2 linked regions of the Arabidopsis thaliana genome follow. The protein of the gene in region 2 interacts with the protein of the main gene of each other region in a pairwise test. Each region holds a gene or a part of one and is shown on either strand. Other genes may lie near its edges.

What was found.
Region 1: the proteins of TRY (region 2) and bZIP43 interact in binary tests that used the Arabidopsis thaliana proteins (3 or more experiments, as listed by UniProt).

What each region holds. Positions count from the first base shown.
Region 1 is NC_003076.8:15,537,458-15,540,990, reverse strand, and holds bZIP43 (basic leucine-zipper 43), read left to right. Parts: upstream 1-2,101; 5' UTR 2,102-2,188; coding exon 2,189-2,686; 3' UTR 2,687-2,850; downstream 2,851-3,533. Other genes in the region: AT5G38810 (F-box and associated interaction domains-containing protein), read left to right, coding at 1-385. UniProt on the Arabidopsis thaliana protein: Probable transcription factor involved in somatic embryogenesis. Acts as a positive regulator of BHLH109.
Region 2 is NC_003076.8:21,580,667-21,584,858, forward strand, and holds TRY (Homeodomain-like superfamily protein), read left to right. Parts: upstream 1-1,947; 5' UTR 1,948-2,246; coding exon 2,247-2,310; intron 2,311-2,603; coding exon 2,604-2,691; intron 2,692-3,125; coding exon 3,126-3,294; 3' UTR 3,295-3,577; downstream 3,578-4,192. UniProt on the Arabidopsis thaliana protein: Transcription factor. Involved in epidermal cell fate specification. Negative regulator of trichome development, including endoreplication, by lateral inhibition involving intercellular interactions.

The sequences.
Region 1 (3,533 bases), 6.0 Mb from region 2:
GAAGTGGAGGAAGATGATATGTCCCTTAACCCATGAACCTTATTATGGTAGAGCCTTATCCATCAATGGGGTTTTGTATTACTTTGCTAGGACATCGTGTTTTCTAGTAGTTTCCTTTAATGTTAGGTCTGAGAAATTCAAGTTTCTTGATGGAAAAGACTTCTCTAATTTTCATAGAGAATTTATAAACTACAAGGGTAAATTAGGTGTGACTAAATTGGAGTGTGATGCTGGTGATGGACATCCCCGTGAGTTGTGTGTGTGGGTTCTAGAGGATGTTGAGAAACAGGAATGGTCACAGTATATCTACTCCTTGCCGAAGATTAAGGTCAATCGGATTAGAAACGACAATATTTTCGCAATGTTTTTGCCTTTGACTATATAGAGGATCTTAGTATTGACGATTCGAAGCAACTCAAGTCAAAACCACAACAACGTCGACATGTAAAGAACAAGCAGGCAATCCTCCTGCAGAACAAGTACGATTTACTAGGTAACTCAGAGTGAGGATCTTATCTTGAAAGCCAAGCCAACGAGTCAAGCTATTTTGGTTAAGAGTGTTACTTGTCATTTACAGGTTACTTACGTGTGAGCTTTATCACCCTGTTGGCGTAGAGTGAGAGCAAACTAATATTTTTTTGTATGGTTATCAAAAGGCCTATGAGGTTTTACCTAGGTGAAGAGGGCTCTCTATATCCAATAACTTGATTGTTAAGAAACCGATGTGGTCAATGATTGAATAGTTGAATTGTCAGAATTGATGTTAAAACAAGAAAGTCATGTGATATGAATACCACTGTAGATTGATTAGAGATTTGTAGTTCATTTTCTGTTGAGATCTTATGAACAAAGATTTATGCTTTATTAAAACTAAACGAACACATCAAATATGCAAAAGAATTGGACACTTAGCTTCTTAAATTTGTTTTCTCTCAACCTTTTCAAGGTCTCATTCATAGGTCTGTTTATGCTTCTTCTGTTCTTCTTGATGAGATGCTTTCCTCTAGTACTAATTAAGTCCATCACGTAATATTTTTTTTTTTTTCTAACAACACTAAAAAAAAATTAAAGATAATATAAATTTGGATGGTTATAAAAGCCCATATGTTTCTTGGGTTTCAAAAGGTTAAATTTCAAAATCACCACCCTTCCCCTAACAGAATCTAATTACATAGGTCGAACTTTTAGCAAAATACGACGAAAATGAAGAATTACGCATGATTGCTATATGTGTCAATCCGACACTTCTATAAAATATTATATGCTTTAATTACTTTTTTCTAAATGTGTAATTTTACATGTATATATATTAAACCAAGCTTAATATAATAAAATATTTAAAAGATTTTAGATAGAAGTCATTTTCAAAAAGTGGTGGTACGGTATTAGAAAATGGACATTTTGAAATTTCTCCAAACGTTTACTATTTAAGATGAATAAATTATTAAAAAATGATTTAATTCATTCAACTCAAAATTGAAAAAAATTGACCAAATTATAAAAGTAGTTTGTTCAATTTATTTATCTACTATTTTGCAGAAAAATAAGTTGAAAGTTATTTTAAATTTCCAAAAAAAAAAACACAAATTTGTTTCCTAGCCATTGAGAGAAAGAAAAATCTCAATTATTCCCAGTCATTCATTTACACACAACCATTTTCCACCCCAAAAATTCAACCAAGTTCTCATAAATTTTAGATAGGTTTTAAAAAATAAGTTGAAAGATATTTGAAATTTCCACACAACAAAAAAAAAACAATTTGTTTCCTAGCCATTGAAAGAAAAGAAAAACTCAATTAATCCCAATCATTCATTTACAAAGCCATTTTTCACCCTAAGACTTCAACCAACTTCTAATAAATCTTAGACAGGCTTTAAAAAATAAGTTATTTAGATTTCGTTCTAAGTAGTTCAATAATTTTATAGGTGAAAAAATAGATCGTGTTTTTAAATAATAAATAAAGTTATATAAATACACGTTTTAGCTGCATGATTGTTAGATGCTTTTATATTGGTTTGACCCAAATGAAGAAACCATGGTCCACAATTGTCCCCCTACTAGTCTATATGAACACCTCTTCTCACCACACACACCAAACATTCATCACAATTCCCTAAATCCTACAATCTTTCTTTTCTTCCATCACCTAAGAGTAAACCCTACCTTGCGTCCCAAGTCTCCACCGATAATGCAACCATCCACCAACATTTTTAGCCTCCATGGTTGTCCACCTTCGTACCTTTCCCATATTCCTACATCCTCACCATTTTGCGGACAAAACCCTAATCCATTCTTCAGCTTCGAAACTGGCGTGAACACTTCACAGTTCATGAGTTTGATCAGCAGCAACAACTCGACCTCAGATGAAGCAGAAGAGAATCATAAGGAGATAATAAATGAGAGGAAGCAAAAGAGGAAGATATCTAACAGAGAATCGGCAAGAAGATCGCGTATGAGGAAGCAGAGACAAGTGGATGAGCTTTGGTCACAGGTGATGTGGCTTAGGGATGAGAATCATCAGCTGCTTCGTAAGCTTAACTGCGTTTTAGAGTCTCAAGAGAAGGTTATTGAAGAGAATGTTCAGCTCAAAGAGGAAACCACTGAGCTTAAGCAAATGATTAGTGATATGCAGCTTCAGAATCAGAGTCCTTTCTCTTGCATCAGAGACGACGACGACGTTGTATAGATGATTTTTATTTTTATTTTTTTGGGGCTCTAGTATGTATCAACAAATGTATATCCAGAGATCTGTCTCAGCTTAAGATTTAATTAAGACTCTAAATTAGTAATTGTTAAAGCAGAGTTCTTCAAACTTGTGTTGCCCGTGAATAGAAGTAAGAAATTGTTTCACAATTGTTTGCATAACAAACGATAAAAATTCACATTGCTGAAGTATAATTTTAAAAAAAATTACATGCATAAATATTTTTGCAAAATGTAAATACAAGCATCAATTACTAACAGTAGACTTTCTTCTTTTTCTCTTTAAAATTTTACGTTTATAATGACCAATTTTGTTCTTTCTAAATTGGCTTAAGTAGTGTCTTTGAAAAAAATATACACCAGCCGTAAACGGTTTATTTTCTTCCATTTCCATTTGCATTTTTATGTTGAAAAATTATTAAGAAAAGAATTAAGATTGTGATTAAAATAATAAGAATATGAAAAGCAAATACGTAAATCTAACGCAAACAAAAACAATTAAGACCTTACATGGTTGTGTACTTGTGTGTGAAACTCTCGTAAATCTAATTATGTCAAGCAAAGAAGAGCTTTTATCTGTAGTATTTTAGTACCTTGTATTTTATTTTATTTTAGTACCTTGTATTGGTAGTGCATGGACTGAGGTTTTGCAAGATTTGGCTTAGAAAGCAGTTAATGCTATTTTTTAAAAACCTAAATTACACTATTGATTATTGGTAAATCTGTTCAGCGGCATAAGTAAACCTATAACTTGGATAAAATGTTAAATCAAGCTTACATCAATCTCAGACAAGAAGACAAACAAACAATCTTACGTAAAAGGAGACCCC
Region 2 (4,192 bases):
CTCTTATAACTTTCTTATTAACTACAAAAATATTCCTTAATAGCAGTTCTTTTACGAGTAATCTATCTTCTTTTCTTGTGTAATATCAAATTTATTGTTCAACCAAAAAGAATAATTTGTACAAGAGTTTTAATTTTAATTAAAGTGGAAAGAGAAATGGATAGTGATTGCTATTATGAAAAATCTTTCTAGGAGGCAACATGTCACATCTTTGTTGTTGTTGATATAATCAAATAATAGAAAAGGTAATCACATCTTTGTCCTTTTGTACCAGAATTTTAGACATTAGTTTAGCTATGCAAACCAATTTCGTTCTTTTAGCTCCAAACTAAAGACACATTTTCATTGATGCATTCTTCGATATCGAATTGATTTGTTTATCAAAAGTTTATGAAAATCATTTATATTGCTATATTGTATTTAAGCTTCGAGTAAAGAGATATTTTACCAACTAGGCTTCCTATTAAAAAAATTCCAAATCTATCACATAATACACAGTTTCTATGCAATGAGGATGATGCGATATACATCACATGACTCGCCTCACACGATGTCTTTCGCCGTAGACTACAGATTTCTTCCGTTTAATCTTTTATCCAATTATGAATTATCTGGTAGGGTACTTTATATTTTGAAAATCTCTTTCGTGAGAATATGATAGTAATTGTATACTTTCTTACAAAATTTATTGAGAAGCGTACTTTATATATGATGTTTCTCACTCGAATTAAATACGTTAGTTTAATGGGTCGATTCAGATTTATAATAGATTTAAATATTTCGAAGAAAACGCAAATCAGGGATTTTGGTTGTATCATGTGTGAGAGATTGAATTTCTCCAGAAGCACTCATTAAATCGCGTGTGTAAGGAGTTGCCATACAGCGTCGTATGTAATGTCTTAGTCACTGTTCTAGAATTAAAACATATGTCAAATGTAGAATTAAAAAACAGGGGTTAAAATGTTAAATTATTCGGAGAAGTGGAATTATTATATTAAAAACATTGTGTGATTTTGGGATAAAATCTGAATCATGTTTTTTATTGTGCCAAAAAATTTCTGTTTCAACCTCTTCGTGGAGATGAAAGAAAAGTCAATCGGGAATGAGACTTCTTGTATAACGAATGAAAATATGAACATGTTGATTAATGAATTAATTAACATACGTACTATATTAAGTGGGAATATTAGGTATAGGCCTTCGATTTTCCGTTTTGTTTGGTTTTTTCGATTTTAATAATATTTCTCTAAATTAAAATAAATTTTAGTTTGGTTTATTTAAAATATTAATAAAATAATATAAATAACTATCTAATTAATATATTAAAAAGTATTTTCTATATATATTGATATAAATATTATTCCCATGTTTTATATTGGGTGACGTTATCTTTTAAGTAAAGTTGTAAGATATCTAACTTATTCCTACATTATAATAACTATCAAAATAAAATAACTAATTGTAGTGACAATGATGACTATCAAAATATGTATGTGTTTTGGCTCAAACATAGCGTTTAATAACAAACACAATGGACAATTTTAATAAATTTGATCGATTAGATTTTGTTTCATTTTCATGCACTAGATTAAGGTTCGAATTAGATTCATTTTAGTGTATATAGTGAAACTAATTTGTTACTATATGGAAAAAAAAATAAGTTTATTTTTGGTTCAAGAATTTTTATTCGGTACGGTTTGGTGTGTATGTCCAACCCTGAAAAAAAAACTTGAAAAACTAATAACCTAATAACAACTAATTTTCTTAGAAATACAAATTGGACTTGAATACAAAAATGGAAAGAACAACAACAAATCAATAACTAAAACATCGTTGAACTTGCATCTGCCAAATAAAAATCAATAAATCCCATTATTCTAAAAAGATAGTAGGTTTAGAAAAATTGAATAAATGGAAAAAAAAAATTGTTAGGATCTACGAATGAGAACAAAGTTAGCCTTCAAAATACTTACAAATCCCAATAAAAGACTTCATCTCCATGTGTATTTGAGTGTCAACGACAAGTCTACACAAAGGGTAAGAGGTCAACAAGACCACACAACACTTCTTACTATTAGTTTTGCAAAGGCCGTTCGTTGGACATTTCCTTCTCTCTCCTCCCCTCTTCTTCTTCTTGTTCGCTCTATAAACTCTCATCTCTCACGTCTTTTTTTCCTTACATTCTCCAAACTCAAAATTTCATCACATTAATTTCTCTCTATTTTTCTTTTCTTACTTCAATAGTAATGGATAACACTGACCGTCGTCGCCGTCGTAAGCAACACAAAATCGCCCTCCATGACTCTGAAGGTACCTCTCTATTCTCTATATATTTTCTATTTCCTAAATCCAATTTTATTAAACATCTTGAAAATAAATTTAGTTCCTAGCTAGGATCATATTCTCTTTGTATATATTCGTTAAAACGAGGGATACGTTTAATTACTTCTAAATTAGTTACACCTCGTGCTGACTAAAAGACTTATCAAGATTAGTTTCTAGTTTTAACAAAAATTAATATCTTTTTAAAAAGTTTATATTTGTCTTTTTTTGTTAGTTTAATATTGTTTTGAGTTTAATTGGTTTAATATTGTTATTTGCAGAAGTGAGCAGTATCGAATGGGAGTTTATCAACATGACTGAACAAGAAGAAGATCTCATCTTTCGAATGTACAGACTTGTCGGTGATAGGTAACAATTTCTTCTTCTTCTACTTTTTCTAAGATTATCCCAGCATAAAATAAATTTTATATTTTAGACATGTCTAGCTAAAACAATTTAATATGCAGGTATATACAATTTTACATACGTTAATTTAAGCATATGTACTTTATAACATATGTACAGTGTACCATGTTGTAGGGGAAGCACATGGTGTCCACTAATTTTCTAAAAAAAGACATTTAATTAAAGCTATCACGTTCATTAAATTATATATGTACACACATATATATAGAGATAAAAATAAGAACCTAATTTACTATTCTTATCAGTACGTACTCATGTATATAAATGCTTGGCTGGCTCAAAAATGGAAATTTTTGAACTGACAAATTATATTTTATTATGAAAATATAAATGCTAATGCTTGGGATAAAAATGTTTTTTTTTTTCTTTTGAATTAGGTGGGATTTGATAGCAGGAAGAGTTCCTGGAAGACAACCAGAGGAGATAGAGAGATATTGGATAATGAGAAACAGTGAAGGCTTTGCTGATAAACGACGCCAGCTTCACTCATCTTCCCACAAACATACCAAGCCTCACCGTCCTCGCTTTTCTATCTATCCTTCCTAGTGTTTTTGTTTTTAAGCCAACGAAAAAAGAAAATAAAAAAATTATAATAGATGTATAGTAGTGGTTCTTGTTAGTTTGAAGAATTCATCATCTATTGTTTTCTTTTTGTTGTTATTTCATTTATAATTTTTATAGTATAGGTTTCATTTGGTAATCAACTTTAATCCATGCGGTTAGGTTTTTTTATTTTCTCGTCTACGACTTTTATATCCACAACTAGATTTTAATCCGCGGTATATCGCGGTATAATTTACTTTTTAAAGTTAATATATATTAAAACTTGCAAATTTTATTTTTATAAAATATTTTTATTTTACAGTTTATAATTGTTATTAAGTAACGCTATACAACGAATCCATGAGACAATTGTTAAAAAACTGAAGTTTTAACCCTTACTAAAACAGCATATTAATAATATTTTAAAAATTTATAAATATTGATTCAAATACATCCACCATATAACTCAATTCCAAAATAAAATCTGTTCTGTAATTTCTTTACCCATCCCGTGATTTATTTTTAAAGTAGTAATTTTAAAAATTTGAGAATTATTTATTACATATAAAAGTTTTACAAATTGTATCATTCTCTAATACATTTATATTTTATAGTTTAATTTTATATATAGTAACATTTTATATTTTATATTCTCTAATATATTTTATATTCTCTAATACATCAGTAATTAGAAAGTAAAAAAAATTGTGTATTAGATTTAGTCCTTTGAAAGAACTTATCAAGAGGAAACTGATCATTTGTGCAAAAATGGTTGGGTAATATTTTAACTAATGACAATAATTTTAAATAGTAAAAAAAAAAAAAGAAATACTCCATTAGTTATAGTTGACTAGTATATTTTGAAGAAACTACTTAAAAAAATTATTACAGAATTAATGAC